Macaca mulatta: one gene and its partners. Each later gene encodes a partner of the first gene's protein in a complex. Links are inferred from orthologs where the notes say so. Each region holds a gene or a part of one and is shown on either strand. Other genes may lie near its edges. The genes, in order: SIN3A, SUDS3 and SAP25.

Region 1 (10,411 bases):
ATACCAGCATGCCTGGCTAATTTTTAATTTTTTTTATAGAAACAGGGTCTTGTTACAATGCCCAAGCTGGTCTCAAATTCCTGGCCTCAAATGATCCTCCCACTTCAGCTCCCAAAATGCCGGAATTACAGACATATCTTTTCTTTTTTTTTTCTTTTGAGATGGAGTCTCGTTCTGTCGCCCAGGCTGGAGTGCAATGACGTGATCTCGGCTCAGTGCAAGCTCCACCTCCCGGGTTCACGCCATTCTCCTGCCTCAACCTGCTGAGTAGCTGGGACTACAGGCATGTATGCCACCATGCCCCGATAACTTTTTTGTATTTTTTTAGTAGAGACCGTGTTAGCCAGGATGGTCTCGCTCTCCTGACCTCTTGATCCGCCCACCTGGGCCTCCCAAAGTGCTGGGTTTACAGGCATGAACCACCAGGCCCTGGCCCATTACAGACATATCTTAATAAGGACTCAGGTTTAATACTCAGACTGAAATGGAAAGCCACTGGATGGTTTTAAGCAGAGAAGTGACAAGGTATGACAGGTTTCAAAAGAATCACTTGGGTTGCTATGTTGAGAAGAGATTTAAGAGTTGCAGTAACAAAACAAGGAGAATAGAATCCAAGCTAGAGATGCACAGGCGCTGACTAGGGCAATGGAGATGCAGATCCCAAGTGGTCTAATTCTGGATAGTATTTTGAATATAGAGCAAATAAAATTTACTGATGGACCACATATTAAAAAGACAGAGAAGAGTCAACAATGTCTCTTAGTTATCCAAGAGGAGACATCAAGTGGAGACCTTGAGCGGGCCACTAGACCTATTAGTCTACGGTAGAGGGAGAGATCCCCGTTAGAGAGTCATCAGCATTGTTTGGATTTTAGAAAGGCAATATGGTACATATACTGTATCATCTCTCTCTCCCAGCTAGGGCTGGGGTAGATCCCCGTAATCAAGCAGTAGCATTTCTGCATCATGCGGGACAGCCCAGGTCAGGTTGTGCCCCAAAATTAGTTGTGGAACTAGACTTACCAAAAAACAAAAATTCTTGCATTTCAGAACTGCAAATAAAGGATGTGGACCTGCATATCCTCCAATAGACCATATATCAGCAAGCCTAGCCCTGGAGGACACCAAGAAGACTCATGAAGGGTCTACTGTCATGCTGAAAAATATGGGTAACATACAAGCACACAAGACAAAAAGGGGGTAAGGAAAACAAAAGCAAAAGGGGCAAATAAGAAATACATCAGTTAGAAATTGCCAGCAATGACCAGGCACAGTGGCTCACATCTGCAATCCTAGCACTCTGAGAGGCTGAGGCAGGAGGATCTCTTGAGCCCAAGAGTTCGAGACCAGCCTGGGCAACATAGGAGGACTTCATCTCTATAAAAATATTTTTAAAATTAGCCAGGTGTGTGGTGGCACACACCTGTAATCCCAGCTACTTGGGAGGCTAAGGTAGGAGGGTCACTTAAGTCCAGAAGGTCAACACTGCAGTGAGTTGTGATCATGCCACTGCACTCCAGCCTGATGACAGAGTGAGACTTCGTCTCAAAAAAAAAAAAAAAAAGACATTATGCGAAGAAAAGACATTATGCGGCTGGGTGCAGTAGATCATGCCTGTAATCCCAGTACTTTGGGAGGCCGAGGTGGGCGGATCATGAGGTCAGGAGTTCGAGACCAGCCTGACCAACATGGTAAAACCCTTCTCTACTAAAAATACAAAAATTAGCCGGGAGTGGTGGTGCCCCAGCTTCTTCTTCGTGGAGGCCGAGGCCGGAGAATCGCTTGAACTCGGGCGGCGGAAGTTGCAGTGAGCTGAGATTGCACCACTGCACTCCAGCACTCCAGCCCAGGTGACAGAGCAAGACTCCGTCTCAAAAAAAAAAAAAAAAGTCTAGTGCCTAACACAGTATCTGTGACACAGTAAGTGCTCAATAAATATCATCTTTTATTATTCAAGGGGCAAGGAAGGTGTATTTTGAAAAAGCATATACCACGTATTTTTTTTTTAAAGGCCTACAGAAAGTAAAGCCTAACAAACTCTTGGCTGGTGGAATTGCCCAGAAAAGTGAGAAAGCCTTGAAAAGCACTATGCTGAACTACTGAATGCCATGGACATAACCTTTTAATTCCAATTAAAATTCCTGGGTACTAACATCTGCCATGCACAGCTCTCCAGTGTCTTGTCTGCTTACACTGAAGATGTAAAAAGAATTATACTTTGCCAGGAATCTTGTCAAATTACTACACACCTCCTTCCTTAAAAAAGAAAAAAAGTCTTTCTCTGTATGTAAATTATTAAAACCCTCTTAATTACGAAGTGCCAATCTTTCTAAGCTATTTATCTCTGAGCAACATTATAGTATATAAAATAATTATCTGGAGATTATGAAGCATTTATGAAACCGCTCCTAATACAGCAAAACCAAGTTCTTACTTGAATCCTTAAAGACTCTTCTGTGTTCCCCAGTATACAGCACTGCAAATCATGGGAACTACTATATGTAGACCAAATTTTCCTCAGTGGTCAATAGTTCTCCACTATCTGTTTATGGCATCAGGAAAAAAACACCTGGATTTTTTGTCTCCCCATCAATTCTATTACAGCCATCATTAGCTAAACTAAAATGCTGTTGCTTTTGCAACTTCCTTGGCAGACAAGATAGAACCTACCCTTTTCACATAAACACAGCACAGGGCACCACTCAGGCCCTACTAACCAAAGCACAAATCTAGAATTTCACTTCAGATAATTAACTAATTATCTAACAATATCTAATGTCAGATAATTAGACATTTAAACCAATGTCTAAATTCAGGCTCATTTAGACATTACTGCATAAATAAACATTGGTTCCATGTTTATTTTTCTCATGAAAAATGTGAAAAATATTGAAATAATTTCTCTCAATAGGAAAAGATAATGTATCAAGTGAAAGCAAAAACCTCATCTAATGTGGTTCTGCTATAGGTTAGATTTGAAATGTCCTAAGGCAACTCTCCAATGCAGGCTGGAGAGCAACGCTACAGAAGTCACATACAGAAGGCTACCCTGATCCACAACTTCACCCTACTCTGAAATATAAAGGGCAAGAACACTGTACTATGTATACTATAAATAGAAAGTGGTCTAGATGATCGAACATAATTACATAAAACCAGAAAGAAAAGACTTCTCACCTATAGTTACCTCAATAGCAAATTCTTTGGGAAACCAAATTTTTTCTGTTTGTTGAGACGGAATTTCGCTCCTGTCGCCCAGGCTACAGTGCAACGGCCCGATCTCGGCTCACTGCAACCTCGCCTCCCGGGTTCAAGTGATTTCTCCTGCCTCAGCCTCCCCAGTAGCTGGGATTACAGACTCTTGCCACCATGCCCAGCTAATTTTTGTATTTTTAGTAGAAATGGGGTTTCGCCATGTAAGCCTGGCTGGTCTCGAACTCCTGACCTCAAGCGATCGGCCCGCCTCAGCCTTCCAAAGTGCTGGGATTACAGACATGAGCCACCGCACCCGGCCAGGAAACTAAGTTTATATAGTAGAACCATCTGCACAATGAAAGCATTCAAAACTACAAGCGTCAGAGATATCAGAATATTTTATTCAAAGTCTGAATTTTTCTTAAAAAAAAAAAAAACCTATTTTATAAACAGACCAGTTTTGAGATTAAAATGTAAATCCCAACTTTCCTGTTATAAATCTCAGCCTTGTAAAGAGGAGGAGCTTCCACTGCCTTTTCAAGGCTAACTTGGTTAAAGTCCTAACGCACCGAAACAGACGCCAAGTCTACTACCCACCACCCATTGGCTCAAAGGAAGCCCCGCCCCATACAGCCACGGTAACTGAACATCGAGGGAACCCCAGAAAGGTTTTCTCTCCGCCACATTTCTAGTCTCTGATGACTCCCTGCCCCTCCCCGACCATCACCACCGCGGAAACAGGGTTCCAGCACCAGCCACACACGCTCCTACAAGAGGACCTTAGGCACTTCGCCCCAATAGATACAACCAGGAGGGTGGTGGGGGTGACCATGCTCCCACTCTCTCAGCTGCACGGTGCCAGACACGCTGCATGGAGCAAACAGAGAAAGCAGCTCCGGCATAGGGCCCTTGTGCCCCAGGCAGAAGGCATGACCGAGCCACAAGAGTAAGTCCTGACACCTCCGCAGCTCTCAGTCGGCGGGAGCCCCTCCCTCCCCACGGAGACATAAGGCGGGGCAGACCTAGGCGGCGAGACTCCCAGCCAGACCCGACAGCGGGCTTTCCCTAGCACCGCCTCATTGCCAAGGAGGCGGAAACCCAGGGCCGGGGTGGGAGGCGGGGGACGGCCAAGGGGAGTGGCATCACGGATCAGTACGGCCCCTCCGGCCAACCGGATCCCGAGAAGGCGGAGAAACTCAGACTTCACGCCCCCTCCCTGCCGCGCCCTGAATCTACACGCGGGAGACCCCCCTACCCGTCCCCGACCCCAGCAGGCAAGAGCGCGGCCGCCAGCCCGAGGCCCCGCCCACCCCAGGAGGAGGAGAGGGGGTGGTCGGCCGCAAACAGCACTCAGCGAGAAGCCGGCCCCGCCCCTTTCTCCACAATCGCACGCGCGCGCCGGCCCCGCCTCTGAGCGGCGGCGCGAGAGCCCGCCCCCCTCCGCGCGCACCGGGACTACGCTCTCCTCCCCCTCCCGCGAGGAGAGCTACCCTGCTCCGCCCCCCACCCCCCTCACACAGCCACACACCTCCCGCCCGTCTGCTCTACGGGAAGCCGAGGAGGTCAGCCCCCCCTAAAAATACACACCCTCGAGTCCGGCGTTACCCGCCACTAGGCTCCCGCCCGGCCCCCGGCCCAGCGTGCTCTCACCGCAAAGCTGCTTCGGCCGCTCGTCACTGCGTGTCCCTCTCGGCGTGAGCCGCGAGCTCAGCAGGGAGGCCCTGAGAACGGCGCGGGGCACAGGCCCGCCGAAGCGGACTGCCAGCTACCTCTCCGCTAACCAAGCGGTCACAGGCCCCGGTGCCCAGACTGGGAAGGAGGGAGGGAGGGAGGGAGGGAAACTCCGAGGGGGGAAGGGGAGGGGGGAAGATGGAGAAACCGTCTCCGCCGCCTCTACCGCCGCGGCCGCTTCTCTGTTACCCGGGAAATCCCGCCCACTCCCCCGACCCCGCCCCGCAGGGGGAAGACTCAGCTTCGTTCCAACACAGGACGCAATACCCGCCCGTCAAAGACTGAGCCAATCACCGAGCCCTGCCTTATGACTTCCCGCCCCTTCCCCCTCGACTGGGAGGGGAGAGGGAGCCGCTCACCTTCTCCACGCCCCTATTGGCGGGGAGCGTCCCTAACTCAACCCCGCCTATTGGAGACAGACTGCTGAAGCCCACCCCCGAGCCACAACGCTATTGGAGGAAGCGGGGAAGCTCTTCCTGTCTCATTGGAGGACACCACATAACCCGCCCCGCAGCGTCTCAGCCACAGGCCTAACAAGTTGGCTCCCGCCTCCGCCGGTCATCGCATTGGAAGGCTACCCCTGGCTCTCCCACCGCCCCAGTAAGGTAAGTAACCGATGTGGGGTAAAATGTCTGTAAGTGAAACAGGCTCCGCCTACTGCACTGCCGGGCCAGGCCCCGCCCCAAGAGTTGGATTGGCTATCTTGGCACTGGTAGGACCCTCCATTGGCCAGGGCGCCCGTCTAGGAAGGAACTTAATTCCGCTCTGCGCGAGGAGGCTGAACCTTAGCAGTCCTTTTGTGGAATGTTTACACTAGAGACTGAAGCTCGGAGTTCCAGGGCCCGAGACAGGAGGGGGAGCGGAGCTCATCAGCGGAGACTCCACATCCTAGGATTTGAAGGAAAGGCAGTCCACCCCGGCGGACTCTCTTACAAAAAAAATGAGAATGCGAACTCATCCTCCCTATCCAGTTATCTTTGCAGTTTACATTCTACACACTGCGTCCTTGTAAACACAAATATCCGGAGCAGCTGGCAACTCCTTTCAGTCAAGTACAGTACAGAACTAAGGTCTGGAGACCTAGGCAGAGAAATAACCCATAACCCCAAGGGTTGCCAGCGCACTCCCTAGAGCTGAATGTGCCTAAGAGGGCGGAGATAACCAAAAGAGAGGCGGGCCCTAACAGCCACCGCCCTGGCAAGCCTCCGGAAGGCGGAGCGTGAGGCACAAGGTACTCACGATCTCCCGGGTGGATCTGTAGGCATCCTCAGAACTGAGAAAGAAGAGAAAAGGACCAAAACAGGCCACAGCATAAATTAACCTTTGGAACATGCCACACTCAGAGAAGGGATAAAACTTCCGTAGTTGGGGACATAACGGCTGTTCACCTTCTCCTTAGCCAGGAGTGTTAATAGTCCCTGTGCCCTCTCTGTGTAGGTAACAGTGCCTCGAACGCACAGTGAGACAAAATGCTTTCAATTCCTAGTTTGCTTTTATTTATTCACCAAATAGGGCGTGGGCCTGACGCTGACCTTACTTTGGGGGGCGCTCTCTCGGCGCCAGGAGGGGACGGGATTACGTTGTTACCGCTCTCCCGAAGAAGTAGAATCCTCCTCCCGGAGAGCTAAGATCCCAAGGGACAGGCCCAGGGAACCCACTCCTAGGTCTAACTCTGTCCTCCCTCTGCAATCCAGCGGAAACGGCCAGGAACGAGCTCTGGCAGCAGGTGGGCCTCACTCCAACGATGGCTTCGAGCCGCGAAACCACAGCAGCGAATTGCGAACTCCAAGGGTAGCCGACAGGTGGAAGCAGCCTCGCCAGTAGCCAAACCCTGCCCCAGGACAGAGGTCTAAAAGTAAGTCAGACCAACAAAGCGACCCCCGGGCCAAGCTGCTCCCAGGTTAGGAGGAAGCGGCACTCCAGCAGAACTGACCCAAGGCTACTTTTAACTTTGCTCCGCCTTCCACCACTAGACTGAGTAGCACAGGGCATTCCCACCATGGTATCAAGAACTACTCAGAACCCAAGCCAGCATTAGGCTGCCCACGACTTCCCGTGAACACAGGGTACCACCTGCGCTGGATCTCGCCTAAGGGCCCGAGGCCAGGGTACTAGGTTGTCAGAGTCTCGGATACAGCCAACTAAGGACAGCTGCTACCATGCCTAGGGAAGAACAAACACTTCCAGCGTCTGCAGAGTTCTCGAGCTTAAGCTTAGGGAAGTCAAAGGGCGCGGAAATAGCCAAGCGACAGGGTTAGAACTTGAGTACTTGGCCCCGGCCTCGAAGGGCAGATCTCAAACCCTGCAGAACCTACGAAGCTTCGCTCCCGAAATCCACTCCGCACTGTAATCCCCTGGCTTCACCCCGAAGGCTACCAGGTCTCCAGCCTCGGTGGAACCTTTGTGTGGCTTCTCGGCTCTCCCCGCCCCCCTCGCCAAGGGCGCCGAGCCTAGGACTTCCGGGCGGGAGGGCAGTTCGAAGGAGCTAGGCGGGCCTCACACATGTGCGGAGCGCGCTCAAGAGCGAAGGAGGGAGGCGGGGAACAAGGCTGGACTTCCCCCTCCGAGCTCTCTCCGCCGGAGGAGGCCGGGCTACCCGTCCCACCAATCCGAGGCGGGGGCGGGACCTTGCGCCTCGCGTCAGCCGCAAGAACCATCCCTCCTCCCTCCGCGGAAAAAAAATCCTAGCAACTTAAACTCCAGCCCGGCCTCCCGATAGGCGGAGCTCGGGAGAATGTCATCCAATCCACATCCGAGAAGGGGAAAAAAAGGGAGTCTCGTCCAGCCAGTGGAAGACAAGAGAAGGCGGGGCCTCCGGGCGAGCCCGAGGTGGGTGGGAGAGAGGAAACGGGCCCGCCCCTCAGCTCCCCTCCAGGCGGGTTGCACAAGCCACCAGCGGAGTAGATAGTAAACAGTCTGGGCCGAGGAGTGCAGGCAGGGGCCGCTCGGCGCTCGGTGGACTGGGCCCCTGCGCCTCCTCTCCCGGCGTCGCCCCGCCCGGCCGGGACGGTTCCCGCCGGCGCCCCGCCTACCCGCCCGCCATCCCGGCTGACAGGCGCGCCCCCCGCGCCCCTCCCCGCCCGCTGATGCATTTCCTTTTCCCGATTCCGAGCGTGGAGACTGTTTTCCCAGTTTCCGACCTTCACTGCCCCTTTCAGGCCACCCCCTCGTGGGCGCGCACACGCCCGCGCCCTCGCCCCCGCCCCATCCGCGCCGAGCGGTCCGCAGCGGCATCTCGCAGGAAGGGGGAGCCCGGCGGCGGCACGGCCGGGGGAGGGGAAGAGAGCAGCAGTCGCCGCCGCCGCCTTGGGGTGGGCGGGGAAGCAGGCAGCTCCATGTTTGCAAGGGGATCAGCCGGGACCGCGGGGCGAAGCCGCCGAGTTTCTGGGGGTTTTCCGTACCACCGGTGCGAGCTCGTTGCCGGCTCGTGGCCTGCCGGGTGCCGGCACCAAATGCTGACTCGACCGCCAAGGCCAGGGAGTTTGGAAACCCGGCAGCTCGCGGGGCTAGCGGCGAGGCGCAGGGGATCTTTCCGGTGGCCTCTCCCGCCCCCGGCCGCCCCTCCCGCAAGTCCAGTGTTGCCCCCGCCCCCAGAGTCCATAACAACCGCGGGCCCACAGTGCCCGCGCCTCTCCGGAGCGCGCCCACCGCCCCCTCCAAGTTTGCAGGCAGAAACAAAACCCTCGAGGCGGCTGCCGCCCTTGTCCAGCGTGGGTAGCCAGGAAAGCCGCGGGCCCCGGCTCGCTTGCTAACTCCAGCTCTCGAGCAACTCCGGGCTCCGCGAGCTTAGTGGGCCCCGCCGACCATGCTCGAGCCACCGCCCCCTGCCGAGCCCGCACGCCGCAGCTCTGGCCCGGTTCTAGTCGGTGTGCGGAATCTCCCTTTTCTTTCTAATATTTTTCTTTTTTAAAAAACGGCACAACAGGAACTGGGGGTCTCCTGCCCGCCCCTTCTCCAGTCCGCCGCCAAAACCTACCGAAACGGACTGCTCGGTGAGATAAACTAGGCAACACGGCCGGCGCAGGGACGACCCCAGGCCGGGCCCACCCCCTCCCCACGGCTCCGGCCCGGCTGGGAAACACACACACTGGCGAGCGGGCGGCGCCAAGAGCTCTCCTTCCTGGCCTGTCCCTCGCCTACCTCGGCCGCGGAACTCCGAGCCTCCCCTCAGCTCGGTCCCAGGGCCCACGGGGCCCACACCACGTCGGGCCGGCCAGACCGAGCGGCCGGCGGACTAACCCCCCAAACGCCTGAGATTGGGGGGACCAAATTAAAAGCAGCTGTTTAACATACCTTCCGAGCCAGGCGAGGAGTCCTGAATGGGGGGAACGCCCCCCACGGGCTATTGGCTCCCCGGCGCTCACGTCAGTCACCCTGGGCCCGCCTCCGCCCTTCGCCCCGCCTCTTCCCCTTCATTGAACGCCCCCTCCTTCCAAAAAATATAAATAAATTAATTGAACTAAACGCGAGTGGGAGACGCATCCGTGGTAGAGGCCCTTATAGCTCCCTTTCCGCCGACTCAAGTTTCTTGAGGTCCTCGGACTGGAGGGAGGCCTTCTGGGACTCGGAGATCCGCTGGGTGGACGCGGAGGAGGAGCCAGCGTGGCTACCGGGCCCCAACTTCCTTCACACACACAACCCATTTGGAACTAGGTAGGAGAGGAGGGTAGGAGCACCCTGGCCACTGGCTGAAGTGGGCAGACCCCTCTGGCTGTGTGACCTAACCGTGTTCGGTCCCCTCTGTTAGGCGCCTAAAAATGAGTGATGCAAACGGGAAGCTCTGCGTCCGCGGGCAACAGGCACTTGTCTGAGCACCTACTGTGGGTCAGGCAGACATTCATACCGTACCTGCTGCTGGGTGCAAATACAGACTGGATGACATGCTTACTCTACTCCTCCAAGGGCTCCAGATTCAGCCGAGGAGATTCTACGTTAAGAACTAAGTCAAGGCAGGAATGTGTATGAAAATAGGAGTTTGTATGTAAATAGGAGCTCAGAGAAGAGAGATTCCTTCTCGCTGAAGGAAAATTGGGAAAGGTTTCATGGAGGAGGTGGCATTCAAGTTGGGTCTTAAAGATTTCATCCAGCAGAAGTGGAGGGGCAGGTCATTTTCAGCAAAGGACACAAAGGGGTAAATGCAAAAAAGGACCTTCATATGTTGCTGTAGTAATTTTAAAAAGTGGGGGTGGGGAGATGGAACAAACAGTTTAAGACTTTTAATTGGGTAAAATTCTTGGATGTGCACAGCAGAATGTGCAGGCAGCACGGTCACAAGGCCCACAGGCCCAGAACTATAGTGTAAGATGTTTGGCACCCTGGCAGAAAGATGGGTTCTGACGATGCACTGAGAGAGAAGTATCTATAGGCAGCAAGGGGAGGCCCAGAGGCTGTTGTATTACTGTATTTGGAGACTACAGAAGTGTCTCTTGTGGAAGGAATAGCCGAGGGAAGAGAAGGCTTCTTTTCTCTATCAAAGCCACCCAAT
Region 2 (9,797 bases), on another chromosome or scaffold:
CCTGTAGTCCCAGCTACTCGGGAGGCTGAGGCAGGAGAATGGTGCGAACCCAGGAGGCAGAGCTTGCAGTGAGCCGAGATCGCGCCACTGCACTCCAGCCTGGATGACAGAGCGAGACTCCGTCTCAAAAATAATACACAAAAATGAGCCAGGTAAGGTGGCACATGCCTGTAATCCCAGCTATTCAGGAGGCTGAGGCAGGAGAATCACCTGAGCCCAGGAAGTCGAACTGCAGTGAGCCGTGATGGCACCACTGCACTCCACCCTTGGCAACTGGAGTGAGACCCTGTCTTTAAATATACCAATGAGTCAAAAACGAGCCTGTCAAATTGTTAACTTTATTTAGGGGCCCTCCATCTCAACACCACATAACCTTGGGGGAAGTCAAGGAAGCTATGTCAGCTTTCTACCAGAAAAGAGCCTCCAGGAAGACACAGACTTTACTCATTAGCCTAATTTTGTGAGTCTTAGTGCCACCACATGTATCTATGGTATCTGCAGAGAGTCAATAGTAGTGGTGGTGAAGAGAATATGCTTGGAGCCAGACACACACTGGCTTAACCACTATCTGTCTCACTGAGGGACTGTGAGCAAATGGCTCCACTTCTCCGAGCCACCTCTGCCATCTATAAAATCAGAAGCAATACCCCCAAGGTCAAAGGGAGCTGCAGGAACTCAGTGAGGTTACAACTTCCCAATCCCTGAGTGTTCACCCTGTGAACCAGCTACTTTCTGAAGCAACTTAACAGGCATTATCTCATCTCACATCACAGCTACCCTCTCCAGAAGGTTCTATCATCCCCTGGCCAAATGAGAAAACCCTACCTCAGAATTGAATCTGTGACAGTGCCAGGATTCAGCCCTGGTCTATCAGCCTGCAAAGTTAGCTCTAATATATTTATGTAATGCTTGGCTCAGTGTAAGTGCTTGGGAAACAGACTTCTATTCTGACATTGTTATGACTCGTGGTACCAGCCTTGAACCCACCATCTTCTAAAGGAAACTCACAGTCTTTACTAGGGTCACAGGTGGCTTTCACTGGGGAAGCCTAAGGATTGGAAGACGCCCCTGGTGAGCAAGAACTTACAAAAGAAAAGGAAGTAGCAGGTAGTGAACTACAGGAAGAAAGGAGAGAAGAGTAAGAGAAAGAAAAACACATTAAAAATGGTAAAGCTCCCCACATTTTAAAGCTCATAAAGTTCTCATCGAATATTTGGATTACTTGTAGTCTTGGCCTCTGCTTCAGAGAAATCTCACCCTCAGGCAAGTGTATCTATAACCTCACTACTGAAGTGTGCTCTGGCCAGCAGGATCAGTGCCCCCCCGGGAAGGTGGTCAGAAATATAGGATCTCGGGTGGACGCGGTGGCTCATACCTATAATCCCAGCACTTTGGGGGGCTGAGGTGGGCGGACCACCTGAGGTCAGGAGTTCGAGACCAGCTGGCCAACATGGTGAAACCCTGTCTCTGCTAAAAATACAAAAATGAGCTAGGCATGGTAGTGTATGCCTGTAATCCCAGCTACCTGGGAGGCTGAAGCAGGAGAATCGCTTGAATACGGGAGGCGGAAGTTGCAGTGAGCCGAGACTGCACCACTGCACTCCAGCCTGGGCGACAAAAACAAAAAAATTAAATTAAAAAAAAAGAAAGAAAGAAATGCAGGATCTCAGCCTCCACTCCAAAGCCGCTGAAACAGAATCCGCATTTTATCAAGACCCCACTGACCTAACACACTGAAGCTGGGCTGCACCGACCATAATTCATCCTAGCTTCTCTACGCACAATCACTCATTTCTGCCTGAACAACCCAGTTTCCCTAAGTTTTCCACAAGAGATTTGGGCGGTAAACAGTACCTCTTGCCAATTCCTATGGAGGTTTGTAAACGCTTTAAGTCATGGTGGGAATGAGCAGGTCGCCAAATACACCCGTTTCCGGTGGGTTATTTGGACCAAGCTTCTCATCAGCCTCTTATCCTACTTCGCTTTTCAAGAGATGTTCATGTTGAACCAAAAACGGAGACTTTAAAAAGTATCTTTCCAGGGCAGAGCTGGGCAACAATGATATTGGGCATCAATCCACAAAGGTGAACTAAGTCACTCAATTAGAGGAATGAAATCAAGCCTTTAATCCAACACCATAGCAGCACCATCTGTGGAAATGCTAATTACCCTTCTAGCTCCAGCGCCTTGTCTTCCAACACTCCATCATTACCTTGGCAGTGCTTTCCATACCAAGGGTACCAAATGGCTTGAGGAAGGACATCCGTACCTTTAATGCCCATGGCTAGCTTTAAACACTTCTGTAATCAATTTTATTGCGTTACAAATGATTTCCCTGAATTTATTTGTCTTTTCTACCCTGGCAGGCTCAGCCTCAAGTCACTGAGGATGCCTCCTGTCCCAGTTAAGATTCTGGCTGTAAAACTGCCTGGCCAAACAATATCAATTGCTTGTCAATAATTAGGATGCCAAATCACAGGTAAGGTGATGATACCCTTTCCCACAGATGGAAAGGGAGCAGCTATAAACGGATAATATTTCCCACTAGCCTAATGAAGGCTCCCAAACATCTGGTGGCTGTAGCAGACAGCGATGAGGCATCGATGCCAGTCACAGCCACTATCAAAGGAAATGGTGTGCAGGTCCAAAAGCCGGCAGACTGGTACCAGACAAGGTACCACGTTGCTACTGGTCTAATTAAATAAGCACTTCCACAAGAACAAGACTATACTGCCTGAAGCTGTGTTTTGGCATCCATTCTCACAAAAAAAAAAAAAAAAAAAAAAAAAATTCTGAGCTGCTTTCAGAGGCCTTCAAAGAGCTCACTTCTTTTGCCAAGTCTTTCTACAAGGAAGCTAACAGACGAGAGATTTTTCAAAAGTCAGACCCCACCTCAGGCACAACCACATTCTCTTAAGTGTACCATGAGGATTGGAGCCAGAGGTGTCAGTCAGAAGGCCAAGCTGGTTCACAACACCAGGAATATAAGGAGGGGAACAAAGATCTTAACTGGCTACTTTTAATTTCAAAGTCAGCCCTGAGAACATCCACAAAAACATTGCATGCATTTCCTATGGAACCCTGCTAAAATCAGACACGCCAGAGCCCCAGCACTTTCTGAATTGTAAGAGTTAAATTTGGGGATGTACAGAAAGGCATGCCACCTCCATATCCAAGTGACAAACTCACCACTGACTTGCCTTGCAGTATTTGCCAAGTTCCAAAATAGCGAGTTCAAGCCAATTCCCTATATCCTTCTAGGAATCATCAGTCTACATATGGCAACAGAAGAGTCGGCCCATATTGTTTCTCCCTGAAACCTGCCTACAACCTGCTGAGTTCCCATATGTGGATTACTAAATCCTAGAAGGTTAGAAAGGGATTGGCTCTGAGTCTCATGTAACTTTCCTACCTCCATGGGAAAATAGTTCAGTTTAGCTATCCTGTTGGAATCATATCAAGTCTTTCTGAAATGTTCACAGTAACACCTGGCAGGAGAGATCTAATAGCACAGAAGATAGAGCCAAAAGCTTTTGTTCTTACATCTAGGTCAAAGGAAGACAATACCTCTTCTGTAATTAAGGCAGACCGGAAAAAAACAAAGCAGAGGGATTCCCATCACCACAGGGGACTTGGGTAAGCAATGTGGGGACATAACCAAGATACAAATGGCAGCGGACCCAGGAATTAAGTAGAGCCTAAGCCAGAGCTTGCCATTACTATTAAAAGTCTAGCAACTATTGAAGACCTGTTATGCACAGGACACTGTACTAGGCACTCATATGTCTAACCACAATCCTGTGAGAGGGTATGATCAGCCCCATTTCATAGAGGAGAAAACAGACTCAGAGAAGTTAAGCAGCTTAACCAAGGTCACACAGCCAATAGAAGGTGGAGGAGGAACTCTCATTTATAAGGTCAAAACCCACTCTCCACCTTGCTCTGCTCTTGAGATGTAAGACAAAAGTAACTGGAACAGCCCTTCACAGCCCCGCTCAGGACCCCCAGGATCCCACCCCATAGGGCCTTCCTACCTCCAGTCAGTTCCATTGTCAGCTTTTCGTTTTCAATCATTTTCTTCTTTTCTTCTAGCTCAGCAATCAGGTTCTCTTTCAGCTCAACCTTCTTGTCTTCAAATTCTTTCACTGCTGCCTTCTTTTCTTTAATGTAATTTCGTTCCACTTGTTCAGTCTGAGCAAAAGAGAAACACAGGCTGGGAGTACACGGCGCTGGAAGCCATGGCTCCAACTCAAAGTCTAGCCCTGTCCTCAACAGCAAAGAAAACACCTTTGCTAGAAACATGACACACAGAGTTTCCCTCTCACACACACGCTTGCAGTAACGGCGTGTCTGGGAGCAAGCTTTCCAATGAATGTGTAAAATCAGACCCACATGACTTTTGCTTATTTTTGAGTATACCTCACTTGCTACGCAGATATTTTTCTCTCGTCCACATCCTATATTTTATACTAAAACACATTTCTCAAAGGGAGTAAATAATTGCTCATGAAGTTACAGCTTCAAAGGGAAATAGGAGATTCTACATTGTGTATATTCAAAAAATAATCACAAGATATTGAGGCCAGATAGCATAAGTTACTATTATTTTTGATACAGCAAGACAAAAGAATGGAACATCATTTAGTAAGTGTCTGAACCCCAAAGTACACAAATATTGATATTATACTAAGACAAAAGTTGTATATGCCTCTGCTTTTCAAATCTCGCCATTGTGGTGAGTGACATCGGGGCCTGTGGTGGGCTAGGGATGTGTGTACCTCACTTGAGTATACCTTCAGGCTGATCACGTGATCCTTCCAGCTGAGTGACTATGGGCATCAAACTGATTTAAGGAAAGTGGGTTCCAATAATGTGGCTCTGAAAAACCACGACTTTCTCCAAAAGTGACCCCCACACACATGCTAGCCACCCTGGGAGCAGTACATCACTAAAGATACAGGCCCTCATCTCTGGATCACAGCACAGAGTCTGACACAGAACCAGCACTCAGGTGTCCATAGAATGAAAGGAAAAATTAGAAATCTGTCTTTTTTTACTGGCCCAGAGAGTTGCAGCTGTAAAACAGAACCGCTGAGCCGATTCAGAGACTGAACTGCTTCAAGGACCAATATCAAACTATTAGGCCGTTATAACTTAGAGACTTCCAAACAGCTCTAATGCGGGATAAAAGTCAATAAGCAGTGAGGGGTGAGTATTCCTTATTCCCTTGTGATAAGCAGAGGCTGCTCAACAACCAATGACCAGACAGGATGTCTGAGCTGAGACCAAATGTCCTTTAGTCAAACAGAACAGTGGTGAAGGCTTCCAAACCATCTACTTGGTGATAGAAGGAAAAGCCACCAGATCAGGACTGCAAGATTCCAGTCTCAGAAAGGGCCTGCAAACCCAGAAGATCTGTGGTACTTACTTCCAGCTGGAGGAAGAGTTCTGCAAGAGATAAAAAGTGTAATTAGATTTGCTAGGCTGTGCCACCTTTCTAGACAGTGATGTTAGCATTCATTTAGAAGCAGTAATTGCTTTCTGAAAGCATGTTACACAGAGCAAATGTTTTCATCAGTGAAATGTTGATATACACGAAGGGAAAGGACGCAAGAAGTACTCAAGTCTAGTTAAAATGTGGCCCTGCCAGCCAGCCAACATGGCGAAACCCGTCTCTACTAAAAATACAAAAATTAGCCAGGCATGGTGGCAGGCACCTGTAATCCCAACTACTCGAGAGGCTGAGGCAGGCAGGAGACTCACTTGAACCTGAGAGGCAGAGGTTGCAGTGAGCCGAGATTGTGCCACTGTACTACAGCCTGGGTGACAGAGCGAAACCTGGTCAAAAAAAAAAAAAAAAAAAGTATGTGGCCCTGAACATACCAGCTGTGGCAGTTCCACCTGAGGGTAAAAAACGTGCAGCAGGAACGAAACTCCCCTGGCAAAATAAACTTATCCCTTCTTTCACTCAGTCCAGCCGCCAACAGTCCCCATAGTAGCAGGATGGGTCAAGAAGAAATAATGTAATTACTCCAGAAACAGAGTGGATATGACGTTTTAAAGCAGTGGTCCCCAACCTTTTTGTCACCAGGGACCAGTTTGGTGGAAGACAATTCTCCCACGGACTGGGACAGGGCAGGGGGTCAGGCGTTGGGTGAAGGGAGGCAGCCCAGTGTTCTGCAGCCTGGGGGCTGGCGACCCCTGGTTTTTTGGTGGGGTTGGTTTTTTTGAGAAAGAGTCTCACTCTGTCACCCAGACTGAAGTGCAGTGCCATGATCTTGACTCACAGCAACCTTCACGTCCTGGGTTCAAGCAATTCTACTGCTTCAGCCTCCCAAGTAGCTGGGATTAAAGGTGCGAACCACCACGCCTGGCTTATTTTTGTATTTTTAGTAGAGACGGGGTTTCACCATGTTGGCCAGGCTGGTCTTGAACTCCTGACCTCAGGTGATCCACCGGCCTCAGCTCCCAGAGTGCTGGGATTACAAGCGTGAGCCACTACATCTGGCCAAGACCCCCTTTTTAAAGCACTATATGAAGGACTATGTGTGGTAAGGAAGGACCTTCACAGGCAATCCACAGGACAGAGGCTCCAGGCACACCTGGGGTTTCACTGTCAGGTCGCCAAGTTCTGCTCACACTGGTGTCTGCCCCTGCAATGCCCTCTGATCTCCTATGCACATTCCCAAGTTCCTGACCGAATGCAGCCCCCTCCTGAGGCCTTTCCTGCTGACTCTTCACACATCATGCCCTTCAGATGCCTTAAAGCACCCATCTAACAGCACTCAACAACTCAGTTACACCTGCCATGTGCCGGATGATTAGTAACCGTTACCTAGCAGCTCCCCTCACCACCAGATTTACAATAGAGTACAAACCTGTCTACAAACCCGCACCAACTTGAAGTAAAACTGCTTCATGGCTTCTACTCTTTCCTGGGTGACACGGGGCTGTGCATACAGTCCACAAAGATTCTCCAGGGGGTGCTATTCTCAGTCTACCATGGGCCCCTTTGTAAACCTGGCAAATGCTATGAATCCCTTCCCCAGAAAAAAGGACATATACAAACTCCACAGAATGCTGACAGTTCCAGGAACCCCAGATTAAAAGCCCAGATGTTGATTAATAGTTGTTGACAGAGAAAATTAATTGAGGAAAGGGACAAGCCACTCATTATTTGTTTAGCCCCTGAAATCCTACCCACTTTGGCACTGGGAATTGCTGGGCATAGGAACCCAGGCACACCCAACCCAATGTGATCATTCCTGTAACAACTTCAGACCCGTACCATGCACAAGTGGGCCAGACAGCTGGAGTTCTGTGCCATTCCGAGAAATCATGCCTCGCACCAACAAGCTAAAATGACAATTAGCACTTAGAGGTGGCAGTGGTTTTAGTTAAAGCAGCCAGACATCACTAAAGCAGGTGGATCATCTCTGCAAAGAATGTGCTTTTTAAAGCTCAAGTCGTGACTGATTTAGGAGCTCTTCTGCATTTTTACCTAGGAGAGGGAAATGTGAAAGAACACATGAGGGCCGGGCACATTGGCTCATGCCTGTAATCCCAACACTTTGGGAGGCCAAGGGGAGCTGGGCGGATCACCTGAGGTCAGGAGTTCAAGACCAGCCTGGCCAACACAGTGAAATCCTATCTCTACTAAAATTATAAAATTAGCCAGGTGTGGTGGCAGGCGCCTGTAATTCCAGCAACTTGGGAGGCTGAGGCACAAGAATCCCTTGAACCCGGGAGGTGGAGGTTGCAGTGAGCTGAGAGAGCACCACCACACTCCAGCCTGGGCGACAGAGTGAGACTCTGTCTCAAAAAAAAGAAAGAAAGAAAGAACACGCGAGGACATGATTGAGAGTCTGCGCAGAATGAAGAAAAACAACTCAATACTCACTCTGCTGTTCTAACTTCAGAAATATGACTCACATCCATTTTCTTTCCTGATTTCCATCTTATGCCAGTTCCATGAGGTATTAATATTCCCCTCTATAGATGGGGAAATTGAGGTTTCAAGAGCAAATATTCTGCTTAAAGATCACATCTAAAGCGAGGAGGCAGGATCTGAACCTAAGACCACCTCTTTCCACAAATGCCACCTTCTTTATCTGCTAAAGGGGAAGTCTAGGAAGAGCAACCGGTTGAGGATTTTCAAGACATCTCAAGGAGGAGCTTCAGGAACTCAGAGTAGAATGGGGGTAACAGCAGGGAGAGGCAGGAGGTGGAAAGGCAGAGAGCTAATAGCTGGGGCTATACTTTCTCAGCGCCCACATGCACTTCAGCCCCTTTTCTATCTGTTGGTATGCACTGGGCAGCTTCTCACTGAGGAGAGATAGTGAAGGGTTGGAGAGTCACTGGCCCAGAATGAAAGATGACGGTGGCATGAGGAATGGCACCCCACCCGCATTCTAAAACCCATCATTACTCTACCATTGCAGGAACAAGGACTCTGCTGGCACCCAAAATGCTGGCCGATGATGAGTGTTAAAAACTCTACACATACACGAGATTTCCTATAATCTCAGGAATTCACGTTTACACACTTTAAACAGTTGTCACATCTTACTTTCTGCATGGTTCTTTAACTCGGTCTTCCTTAACTTTACACATGTGGTATCTTTTGTCAATGAAACACCAAGTTTCCTCAAGTCAAAGCAATGCGTTACATGACTTTACACTGCTCACAGTGCTTAGATGTAGCAGGTGCTTAATTCATTTTTGTTGAATGAATAGATTTACTGTATACAACCAACCAAAAGTGTGCCTTTTCTCTAAATTCTTATAGAAATAATACTTGGGGAAAATAACAAGAGGACCCTCCCCAATCCTAGCACAGAATACCAAAAGAAACAAACTTAAAATGGGACAAAAACAACCTACAATCCTTTTCCTCAGCCGCACTTCTGATTGTACACCAGGCCAGCCATGCGGCCATGAGCAAGAGTTGCAGGTGCAAGACTACTCTTGGGGTACCAGAGAGAACAGCCGAACTGCAAGGAGCCTCCTCAGACACCCTCCACTACTGGGCCATTCCTTAGCAAAAGATGAAACCACTTTCCATGACCACAGTTTGGAAGTCTCTTTTTCGAAAACTCTCCCTGACAGAACATCTGGGACACGTTTTGGAGAACAGCTCTCAGGGCTACATTACTCTGATGATCGGCAAACGGTGGGACATTTAAAGATGATTCATTTCCATTTAAAGGAGCCTTACCTGCATTCCGTATCCTCTCTTTGTACTGCTGATCTAGTTTTTTCATTCTCTTCTGGTACTCCTGTAATGTACCTGATTTCGAACATTTAAAAAATAAAATTATTGTGAATGTCAATCTGCCCTACATTTTGTTTCCTAAAATTATTCTGTAGCATCAACACTGACTGTTTCACTAACACCAAAGGAAGACATACCTCCGCAGAGTTAACTCTGGTTCTTAACCAAGGCACACAGCAGAAACCACTAGGGGCCTATTTAAAGTCCACCCAACCCAGTGGATCAAGGGTCTGCAGTGAGTGAGGGGGAGTGCAACAGTGCCAACATCTCCACACTGTTCTGATCAGTTGCCGCAACAGTCTGAATCAACGGGCCTTCCTTTACTGGAAAAGGTTCATTCTCCTTCAGTAAGGTCTAGATCCATGCTCTCCAGTAGAACCTTCTGCAATGGTATAACGTTTTATATTTGCAATGTCCAATATGGCAGCCACTAACCATTTTTTGGCTATTTTAGCACTTGAAATGTAGCTAGTGGAACTGAAGAACTAAATTATTAATTAAATTTAAACAGCCACATGTGGCT
Region 3 (10,290 bases), on another chromosome or scaffold:
GCTGCATGCTGGTTGGGTGCTGGTTGGTTCCCTACATCTCCCTCTCAGTGTGACCTTGGAATAGGTGTACGAGGACCCCAGCTCCATGTACACAGCACTTGTCTCCCATATTCCCACTCACGTGGGGCCCCTTCCCCAAGAAGCAGGAAGCATGGTGGGAAGCCCTGCCCGCCCTGCTCAGGCTGCCCTGGCCCTTGCACTAGGTCTGGGTCCTTGCTTCTGTTCTCTTGTTACGTCTTTGTCGTATCTTGTCCCTTGCCTGAGGGAGCTCCTCCCTGAACGCCATCTTTATGGGGGCTGCACGTTGGCCTCTCCCTGACTCTCAGCTTCCCCCTTTAGGCACCTTAGTCGCCTTGGGTGATATCTCAGGGTCCTCTAAGTTCCCGCCAGGTGTCACCTGCTGGTTTGTCTTGTGCACCTTCACCCCCATCCCCCTGGGGGGGGTGGTCAGTGGTCCTTGGATCAGAACTGAGTGCAAAAATGCCCAGTCCCCAGCCCAATCGCAATTTTTTCAAGAAGCAAAGGGTACCTCCACCAGGAAGTCCACACATCCATGGGCAGAGCCTTCAGGTGGTCCTGGGGTGACATTTTTGGGCAATGGTGGTGAGGAGGGGCCCAGAGCAATGGGGCAGCCCGAGGGGGTCTTCCTGAGAGATGGCCTCTTCCTCTGAGGTCTCCTTCAGTGGCCACCTGACTGGGTTCCAGCGGGTATGGTCTGTGCACAGGGACTACCCCCTGAACCTACTTATTCCAAGTCACCTCCTATCACCCCCAACCCTCAAGAAACTGAATCTCCAGCTCAGAAATAATCCAGCGTAGTGCTCAGTGATGGTGGCTCCTTGGGTTACTTGGAAGGGCACAAAACCACTCCTGGATGGGAAGGGGTTACACACAGGAAGGACACCTATAGGCCGAGGGGGGCGCGGCAGAAGCCGGCAGGGTGCGTGGAGGCCCCGCTCCACCGCCCTCTAATCGCCAGCGCCACCACCGCTGCCACAAGTCCGATCACACTGGCCTCACACGGAGGCTTTCTCGGTTGCCCGGACGACGTGTCCGGACCGCAGTCAGCTGATCGGTAGAGACGCCCCCACGCTCCCTGCCCCTGTAAAGGCTCAGTCTTGGCGTCGAGGCCGCCTCTCTTGGACTTCCCTACTCAAATTCCAGCGCCCGGGCGACGTGAGGATTCGTCTCGTGGGGTGGGGGCTCAGGAGCGGTCGGCTGAGGGAGGGAGGTAGTGGGGAGCCCAGGCCACGGGCAGCAGCCACTGGGACACTCGCTGTGCGCAGAGCCCTTGCCCCAAACTTCCAGTCAGGAGCCCAGGAGAGACGCTGGACATCAAGACGCTGGACTCCCTGCCCAGACTCACCCCCACCCCTGCTGGCCTCTCCCCGCGCTCAGGACACGAGACCCAGCCATCTCTGCCTCTCCTGCAGTCACTTTATTGCCTTCGGCCCTGAATGAAGCCCACGAACGGCGGCCCCGGGGAGAGCCGGGAATGGCCACCATGCCCCTCAGCCAGCCGCTGCCCTGGGCCTGCCCTGCAGACGTGCGACTCTGCCGCCACCTGCGCGCAGACCCGCCGCGTCCCGAGTCTTCTGAGAGCGATCAGAAGTTTCGGGCTGGCCGGGCACGGCCCCAGCTCAGCCTAAGCCTGGCGGGCGCGTGACAAGCGCGCAGACGCGCCAGCACCACCTGATCCTCCTCTACACCCACGACAACAGCCTGCGCGTGGCGGCGGCAGGCGAGGCGGAGCAGCAGGCGTGATACAACGCCCTGCTCGAGGCGCGCGGTGCCGCCCGAGCCCTGGGTTGCCGGGGACCCCGGGGGCTTGTGGCTGTGGTTTCTCCGTGGCTCGCCCCTGCCCCAGGTCACCGAAAGTTCAAACATTAAAGGGTTTGCATGTTTAGAGTTCTCCGGGCACAGGCCCGGTGCGGTAGCTCACGCCTGTAATCCCATTACTTTGGGAGGCCAACGCGGGCGTATCGCCTGAGGTCAGGATCGCCTGAGGTCAGGATCGCCTGAGGTCAGGAGTTCGAGACCAGCCTGGCCAACATGGTGAAACCCCATCTCTACTAAAAATACAAAAATTAGCCGGGCGTGGTAGCACATGTCTGTAATCCCAGCTACTCAGGAGGCTGAGGCAGGAGAATCGCTTGAACCAGGGAATCGGAGGTTGCAGTGAGCCAAGATCAGCCACTGCACTCCTGGGTAACAGAGCTAGACTCCGTCTCAAAAAAAGAAAAAAAAAAAAAGTTCTCCGGGCACAATGAGGCCCAGGCGCTCAGGGCCCAGGCGCTCAGGGACCCTCCTATGAGCATCTTCAGACTCCCCATCCCTGAGACCCCGGCTTCTGCGGCCCAGTCAAGTGGCCTGAGCCATCAGGGGTGTCTGCGAGAGGGGATCGAGCAAGCAGCCCTCAAGACCTTGGCAAGGCTGGGTGCAGCAGCCTCCTACCCCAAGGGGCAGGGTGGGGGCTACATAACCAAGGGAGTGGGGAGTGACTACGAGCCCATGGGGACCATTCCTACAAGTCTGGGCTCAGGAGCCTGGACCCAGGCCAAGGAGCGCCCATCACGATGTGGGGGCTGGCTGGGCTCCTGGCCCCCTCGGAGCTGGCTGGGGAGGAAGTGTGCATCAAGTTATCCGCCCGAGAGCCTCCGAACAGTCACCGCCAGGCCAGAGCCCCTGACGAGCTGCCTCAGCTATGTTGACCTGGACCTGGTCCTTTCTCTGGGGGCACTTGGTGACGTCCCCAGGGCCTGCACGCTCCGCCCACGTAGCTACACAGGCATTGAGTTCTAGAACTCCCCGGAGGCGCCGGTGAGGAGACCTGAGACCCAGGCAGCTCTCTCCTGCTGACTGATTGGGGGGTGGTTGAGGCAGGGATAGGAGGGAGTGGTATTGTAATGCCCCCCACCCTGCCTCCTAACCCCCCACCACGGGAGAGACTTTAAGACCCAGATGCCACCTCGGACAAGTGACCTGCAGGGCAACAAGCTGGGGTCTCTGCCCGCTCTGTCCCTTCCAGCTGTGGCACCTAAGTCTTGAGTAGGAGGTTCTCCAAGAAGTTGGGCTATTTTATGGGAGAAAATTCTAGAACCCATCCCCGCCCAAACCACCAAAACTACACACTTCTGGGCTTTCTCAGCTGAAGCCCTGATCCTCTGTTTCTCTGCAGAGTTCATGCAAGAATCTCTAGAGTCTCAGGTCGGCTGTGGCGGGGCCACCTTTCTGCCAATGGTGACATTCATGTGGACCGGCACCCTCCCCCACACACCTGCAGTGCGTTCTGTGTCTCCTTTGAGCCAAACAACTACCCCACCCAGCCCAGAACTGAACTCCGGGAGCCCCAGCACAAGAGGTGTGGGAGCACCAGGGATCTTACCGCTAGTGCCCCCTAAAAGTAAGGTGCCCCTACTTACTCCCCCACCTGGCAGTTTATGGCTCCTTGTTTCCTATAAATTCAGCTCTGCACTGCCATGCAGACCACCCACTCACTCATTAAAGGGGCTCTGTCTGGTCGGCCCAGAAACGCCTTAGGTCATGGATACCCCCGTCCTCCGCCTAACACAGCAGGGGGTGATCTGTAGTGGGACAGAAAGAGACCCCATTCCTGCCTCTATGCCCTACTCTGCTCCCAGCCACACGGAGCCTGTTTTGCAAACCAACACTGCTTTATTGTCAACACAACCAGCCCATTCTGCCCCGAGAAGGCTATGGACAATGGGTGTCTGGGGTCTGTGGGAGAGAGGGGTCAGCACCCTGAGAACTGCTGGGGCTACCACAGGGGCTTGGTGGGTCAGAGGTAGGGTCTGGGGGGCCAGCAGGGGGCGTGTCAGCCACGGAGGAGCTGGGCCTGGGTTCCCCCTGGCTCATCTGCAGTAGGCCAGTGAGAGCGATCAGCTCCGGCCCACTGAGCCAGGCGGTGGAGGGGCTCCGGGAGGGTGACAGGCGGGGGAGGACCCAGGCAGACATAATGGGGGGCGGCGGCAGCAGTTTCAGGGAGCCCATCACCTGAGGAGAGAGAATGGGATGTGTTTCCTGCCAGGCACGCCTGGAGGCTGGGGTAAGGCCAGGGAGGGGGAAGAGCTCTCACCTGCTGGGGGGCCTTGGACAGGTACAGGGGGACACGCTGCCCCTGGGGCAGCAGAGGGTCCGAGAGGAAGACATCTTCACAGCACATCACCGGGAACCCTAGAAGGAAACACCACTGGGGTGGCAGGCTGTGGGCTCCCACCCCTGGGCACTGGTTCCGGGAGGAGTTGGGGCAGCCTTGCACCCCCAGAGGACCAAGGGAGGTACCTGCATCTGGGTGCGCCTGCTGTCCATTCCAATGCCCTGTGGCAGGGGCCACAGGCCTGAGACCCCTGCCCGAGGCTGCCTCATACAGCGGCCAGAACGAGGGGTGACACAGCGTCCGGCCTGAGAACGAGGCTCCTGAGCTACAGTTGGCCCCCTAGGGTGAGGAGGACAGACCACTGGAGCCTCAGGCCACCCTGCAGCTCCCTGAACACCCCAGCCAGCCCCACAGGTTTGCCCTCAACTCACCCACACCGGCTGACGGCCCGCTTTCGCTTCGTACTTGGGGTCCCAGGGCGCTAGTGGAGTCATCCTTGAGGGGTCCACCTCCCAGGCCACCTGGGGGGAACGGGGAGCTGGGGGGACACTTGGGGATTAAAACAGGCTCAGAGTCAGAGAGGCTCTTGGCGGTAGTAGAGGCAGCAGGACCCGTCCTACCTGGGGCTCCGGGGGGCTGCTCAGTGGCTGGGCCTGGCAGGCGGTGGGGCAGCGGCAGCTGCTCACTCCGGGTCCAGGAAGGGCTACGGGATGGGGGCCGTGGGCTGGAGGGGCAGGGACTGAGGCTGCAGTTACACCGCCCCCACGCACCTTCCCCTGGAGCCCAAGGGTGCCTGGTGCAAGGGAGGCCGAGGGACCCAAACTCCGGCAAGGACAATGGAGAAACCTCCGCAGAGGGCGTGGTGAAGGCATGGAGGTCCCCAGTCGTTGTCCCCCCGCGGCTCCGGCCGAGCCCCTCACCTGTCCCATGGGGATGTCCCCAGATCCCTGGGGGCGTCCGCTCCGGAGCTCCAGGGCTCGCCCTGGTCCTTGCCCGCCACAAGGCCTAGTCCCTCGGGCGCCTCCTCCGGGCCCGCGCCCCACCGTGGCGGCGACCAGGGCAACATTCCGCGTTCCAGAGCGCAGGGCTGCACCGCAGTGTCCCCGCCGCCCGGCCCGGCCCGCTCAGCCTCCCTCTACCGCGCGGCGCGAACCAGCCCTCCTGGCGAACCCACCCTAGAGGCCTCGCGGCGACGCCGGCGCCCTGTGCGTCTCCCGGCCACGTGGCGCGTGCCCCCGCCAGGCTCCCGCGGGCGCCCCCTGGCGACCGGGCGGTGAATTCCGGATACAGAGGCCCCCCCCACAATCCCGCGACGCGCGTGCTCTCAGACACAGTTACACCTGAGGGCCACCCAGAGGGCTTCTGGCTTCTGTTTATTGCAGCTGACGCGACACCTGCGACACCCGTGGTCTTTCCACCCAGACCCTCGGTCCCAGAGGCAGCCAGGCCCGCAGGCCAAGGGGGCCCAGGCCCAGGCCGCCCTCACCGAGTGCTTGTCTCAGAGCGTGGAGCCCAGGCGCGTCTTCTGCTCCCGGGGTCCCAGGCGGGGTGGGCCCTGCCCCCACCTTCACCCCTAAGGCCGGTCCAGCAGGGCGTGGACGACAGCAGCGATGTAGGGGAGGCCCCTTCCCGGGGCCCCCTCCTCTTCCAGGATGTGGTGGGGCTGGCACAGTGACTCCTGGGGGAAGGGGCCGGGTTAGCTTCCCCAGGGGGCCCCCCGTGGCTTCCGGCCTGTGGCAGGGGGTCGGGGGCAGACCCGAGCATCACCATGCGCTCAGGGCTCGGTGACAAATGAGACGCAAGAAAGCTGTCAGCGATAACAGAAGGGAGATGACACGGGGGGAGGCGGAGGCTCCGGGAGCATGAGAGGCTGGCATCTCAGAAGGGCGATGCTGGTGGGCACAGAGCCATGGCCACAGCCACCGCCACGCGGAGCAGACGCGCGCACACTTACACACACACAGGCAAGGCGGTCACGGTCTGTACAGTTTATACACAGAGACAGGGACCCGGCCTGGGCCCCACACCCCTACAAATATAGATCCTCTCTACAAAATAGAGATAATTTAGCCCCCGCATAGCAGCCGTTGCGGGGGAAGGGGAGGGCACAGGAGGAAGGGGGAGACTCTAGCTCCTGCCACCCCTCACGGGGCACAGAGGGCAGGGGCAGGGCCGGCGGGGACATGAAGGCACCGTCAGCACTGAGAGGTGGGGACTCATGGGGCTACCGGAGGGAGGCCAGAGGCTGGGGGCCCAGGGTCTGGGGGCACCAGAGTGGGGCCTCTGAGGTCAGTGTCTGTGAAGGGGGTGCACTAGTGTCTTTGGTCGGGGCTGAAGGCACCGCAGGTGGGGTCGGGTGGAGCAGGGGCCTTATAAATAGAAGGGGGGAGGGAAAGGGGTAAGGGAGGGCTGATTTCGGGTCCTAGGAACCCAGGAGCCGAGTGTAGGAGACATAGAGCAGCAGCATGAGGACCACGTAGAAGATGACGAAGCCGCCCAGACCAGAGGGGGGCCAGAGGGGCGGTAGGGCCTTGCCCCCCACCCGCTTCACGGCCTCCAGCACGGTCCGCAGCCCCCGGGCAGTGCCCTGGAGGAGATCCGAGGGCGAGCACAGGTCAGCCTGGGGGAGAGGAGAGTAGATGGACAAGGACAAGGGACAGATATCAGCAGCAGCAGCAGGACAGTCCCTCCCACCCCTGCCCTCACGTGCTGGGGCCAGAACCACGCCCACATGCCGACGTGCCGGGCAGGGGGAGTGCAGGGCAGCGGGAGTGCAGGACAGGCAACATGCAGGGCAGGGGGCGTGCAAAGCAGGTGACATGCAAGACAAGATGGGGCCTGCAGGGCAGGGGACGTGTAGGACAGGTGACATGCAGGGCAGGGGGCATGCCAGGCAGGGCAGGGGCAGCCTGTGCCTCCATCTGAGAGCAGACACCTGCTGCGAATGGAAGCCCGCCATCCATGCCACACGCTGGCTGAGCCCGGCATGCCACCACTCTTTAGAAAGCAGCCCCCATACCTCAGGCACTCCCATTTTTCGACAGGCTTCTAGGAAACTCTCCACATTCTTCCGAGCCTTGAGGGCACTGAGTTTTGGCTGGGGTGGGTGAAGGAAGAAAATGTGGTAAGGGAGAGGCCACAGGTGCCCCAGCCCATCCCCCACCTCTTCCCCGGCCCCAACTGACCACAGCAGGAGAGGGCACATGGATGAAGGGCACGGAGCGCGGCCGTAGCTGGTTGGCCAGTTGGCACAGGATGACCCCGCTGGCCAGAGCCTCGGCCAGGTCCTCGGGCAGGGGCCGCTGCAGCCGGGACTCAAGGACCTGGGAGTGTAGACCGCATAGAGCAGGGGTCAGGGAAGGAGAGGTATCTGGGAGGCAGGGAGAGTGGGGGGCTCAGGGCCAGCAGGGAACTTGTGCCTGTCCCCTTCTGTCCTCAGGGGAGGTGCCAGAGTGGGCACAGAGGATGTGGAGGGAGGCTGGTCCCAAGGACAGCAACACAAGGAGGTGCCCGGCCCAGGTCCCTGCCCACACAGCTCCCAGCTCTGCTCACCTGGCGCAGCTGAGTCATTAAGTCCTTCTCATCTGGAATCTGGGGGGACCGCCGAGGTCTCAGGACAGAGTCTGGTGAGGAAGGGCCTAGGAGAAAAAGCAGGGCATGGGGCTGCCCCCACTGCTCACCACTGACTCTGTAGCTGGGTCCCAGTGGCCTGGCACCCACACCTCCTGCCTCTCTGCTTGTGGGATTTTCTTTTTCTTTTACATGGAGATGGGGTCTCGCTATGTTGCCCAGGCTGGTCTTGAATTCCTGGGCTCAAGCGATCCTCCCACCTTGGCCTCCTAAAGTGCTGCAATTACAGGTGTGAGCCACCACACCCAGCTTATTTGTGGAATTTTCAACACAAAGGTACAACAGACCCAGAGGGCTCCCAGGGCAGAAGGGTGATGTAGCAGTTGCTGCTGGCAAGCACTGGGTCAGCACTGGGGAGGGCGGGACACCCACCTGAGCCACTCTGAGAGGAGGAACGGAAGAGGAAGCTGTTTGGTCTCTGAATGGAGCCAAGTGGCCTCGGAGCAGGTGCTGTTGCTGGGGCCAGAACCAGGGACACAGCAACAGGGACAGGTGAGACAGGCATCCCCTCTGTGTCCCTCTCTCCCAACCAGCCCTCACCAACACAGGCCCCATCCTCCTCCCAAAGTCCCTGTCCCACCTGGTCCAGCTATGGGAAGGGGCTCTTGGGAGGCGGGGGCAGGGGCAGGGGCTCCCTGCCCCACTGTAGCTCCCGCTTGGGAGGCACTGGACTTAGGCGGGCCACTGAGGAGAGACAGAAGGGAGTTAGAGGGATGGTCATGGGAAGAGGAGTGGGGACCGGATGCTGGCAGGAAACCTACTTGTGCGTGGCTTGAGTGGACATGGCGGTGGCTCCTCCCACAGCAGACCTGAGCCCTGACTTCAAGAGGCTGGAACAAGGAGAGGTGGGGTCAGCTAGCCCCGAGGCAGAACGGCTTAGTGGGGCTCGGTGGCCCCATTTCCAGGGCTCAGTGTCTGACAACAGCCCCGGGCGGCCCTGGGTCCCACCTGTCCTTCCTGGGGGGCCCCCATGCCCCACTCTGCTGCTGCTGCCGCCGTTCCCGCTCCTGCCACAGCTGCAAGGTGTCCGGGCGCCGCCGCTCCTCCCCTGCCGGCTCCTCCCGCCTGAGGGACCAAGACAGGGTGAGAGGGGCAGACCCTGGGGTCAGGGAAGGAGGGGGCTGGGGGGTGGGTGGATCAGGCAGTGGCGTCGGTTTCAGGGCTTGGGATACCTGCTGCTTGGTGCCCTCTCCCTGTCCCCTGCCCCGGGGCTTAATTCGGGTGGTCGCTGCTCCTAAGGAGAGAACAGCAGAGCAGCTGAGAGCAGGCCTGTGCCCACGCCTGCCCTGTCCCCTGCTCTAGCTCCCCTCCCTTGGGAGAGGCACAGCTGGGCTCTCACCTCCACAGTGCCTCGCTCTTCATCCTCCCCCGGGACGTGGCTGTCGATGAAGTCAATCTGCTCAGGGTCTCCGTCCGCTGGGGAGGCCAGCATGTCAGCAAGTGAGTGGGGACCCTGGTCCAGCCCAGCTCCCAGCCAGCCCTGCTACTCACCTGAGCCGTCCTCCCGGCGTTCTCTGGGTCCCCGGGGCTCCCGGGCCAGCTCTGAGATCCGGAATGACAGCTCTGAAAATTCATCTGTTGACTGTAAAGGCAGAGGCTGAGATGGGAGATGGCCTCTCTGCACATGGGGGCTTGGGGCCTGGGGGGTCCTGTGTGGGACTAAGCTCAGGGTCTTTGCTGAGCCAGCCCCTCCCTGGGATGCTGGGCAGAGGGAAGGAAGAGGACAGCTCCAGCCTCTGCCTGGTACCCTGCAATTTGGATGTCCCCAGTTCAGAGGTCCTCTCCCAGGGCTGACACCCCCAATTTCCCATGGACAGGACGCCCTTACCTCATTTCCAGACCACCTCTTGCTGCCACTATCAACGCTGTGGAAGCCTGAGTCCAGCCCGCCATCATACCGATGTCCCGGAAACAGATCCTCTGCAGGGCTGGGGCCAGCCAGGGAGATCTGGTCAGCCTGATGCTGGACAGCAGCCCCCAATCCTCCCAGAAAGCAGGGGGTACCTGGGGCCAAGAAGGGGCATTCAGTATCCCAGGGCTTCCTTGCTCCCCACCTAGGACTTACCAGGGACTGAAACTCGGGGGCCGAGAAGGGGCCAGGTCCCCCAGGGCTGACCCACGCTGCCCAGCTTCTGTGGACAAGTACTTGAAGATGTGAAGTTTCCCCTTCAGGCAGACCTGTGTGCGGGGCAGCACACGCTGGGGAGCTGGCAGGGAAGGCAGCTCCCCGGATCCTGCTTGGCTGCCCAAGAGGACCAACCCCACTCCTGCCCAGCCACACCCCTGTCCCTGTGGCCCCCTGGGCCCTCGCCTCACCTGGGCAGGCGGGCTCTGCAGGGGGTTGCTGTCCAGCAGAATGACCTGCAGGTGCCTGAGGCGGCAGAAGGAGACCGGGATGCGGGAGACGCGGTTACAGGAGAAATCCAGGCGGACCAGAGGGAGGTCCCCCAGCTCTGGAGCGGGTGGGCAAGGGAAAAGTCAGGAGCGTGCTCAGGCCTGGGGCCTCACGCTCACTCCCTTCCCCTTGGCTCCGGCTGGCCAGT

Evidence for each region.
Region 2: the proteins of SIN3A (region 1) and SUDS3 are in contact, whole or in part, in an NMR structure (PDB 2N2H), measured with the Mus musculus proteins. The link is inferred for Macaca mulatta from reciprocal best matches to the Homo sapiens genes SIN3A and SUDS3. Residues at the interface, in NP_001103821.1 of Mus musculus: Glu616, Glu619, Leu620, Val623, Arg672, Ile673, Tyr674, Ala675, Lys677, Asp680, Ile681, Ile691, Ala692, Ile695, Val696, Arg699, Met702, Lys703, Glu706, Trp707, Glu709, Ala710, Phe714; in NP_848737.3 of Mus musculus: Ala205, Leu207, Asn208, Tyr209, Leu210, Leu211, Gln215, Ile216, Glu218, Asp219, Leu220, Thr222, Leu223, Leu226.
Region 3: the proteins of SIN3A (region 1) and SAP25 are in contact, whole or in part, in an NMR structure (PDB 2RMS), measured with the Mus musculus proteins. The link is inferred for Macaca mulatta from reciprocal best matches to the Homo sapiens genes SIN3A and SAP25. Residues at the interface, in NP_001103821.1 of Mus musculus: Leu121, Lys122, Val123, Ala126, Leu127, Leu130, Tyr144, Phe147, Leu148, Met151, Lys152, Phe154, Lys155, Thr161, Val164, Phe182, Phe185, Leu186, Pro187; in NP_001075431.2 of Mus musculus: Ala208, Glu209, Ile211, Ala212, Leu213, Ala214, Gly215, Leu216, Leu217, Gln218, Met219, Ser220, Glu223.

What each region holds. Positions count from the first base shown.
Region 1 is NC_133412.1:53,490,373-53,500,783, forward strand, and holds the start of SIN3A (paired amphipathic helix protein Sin3a), read right to left. Parts: upstream 5,079-10,411; 5' UTR 4,846-5,078; exon of another isoform or gene 4,783-4,845; intron 1-4,782. UniProt on the Homo sapiens protein: Acts as a transcriptional repressor. Corepressor for REST. Interacts with MXI1 to repress MYC responsive genes and antagonize MYC oncogenic activities. Also interacts with MXD1-MAX heterodimers to repress transcription by tethering SIN3A to DNA.
Region 2 is NC_133416.1:125,676,852-125,686,648, reverse strand, and holds part of SUDS3 (sin3 histone deacetylase corepressor complex component SDS3), read right to left. Parts: intron 9,290-9,797; coding exon 9,218-9,289; intron 5,449-9,217; coding exon 5,429-5,448; intron 4,192-5,428; coding exon 4,035-4,191; intron 1-4,034.
Region 3 is NC_133408.1:47,775,892-47,786,181, forward strand, and holds SAP25 (histone deacetylase complex subunit SAP25), read right to left. Parts: upstream 5,676-10,290; 5' UTR 5,675-5,675; coding exon of another isoform or gene 5,491-5,674; 5' UTR 5,184-5,490; coding exon 5,038-5,183; intron 4,842-5,037; coding exon 4,738-4,841; intron 4,656-4,737; coding exon 4,549-4,655; intron 4,457-4,548; coding exon 4,303-4,456; intron 4,195-4,302; coding exon 4,097-4,194; intron 4,015-4,096; coding exon 3,715-4,014; 3' UTR 3,656-3,714; downstream 1-3,655. Other genes in the region: LRCH4 (leucine-rich repeat and calponin homology domain-containing protein 4), read right to left, coding at 6,540-6,737, 7,137-7,214, 7,303-7,440, 7,670-7,755, 8,120-8,203, 8,328-8,431, 8,509-8,577, 8,696-8,812 and 5 more. UniProt on the Homo sapiens protein: Involved in the transcriptional repression mediated by the mSIN3A but not the N-CoR corepressor complex.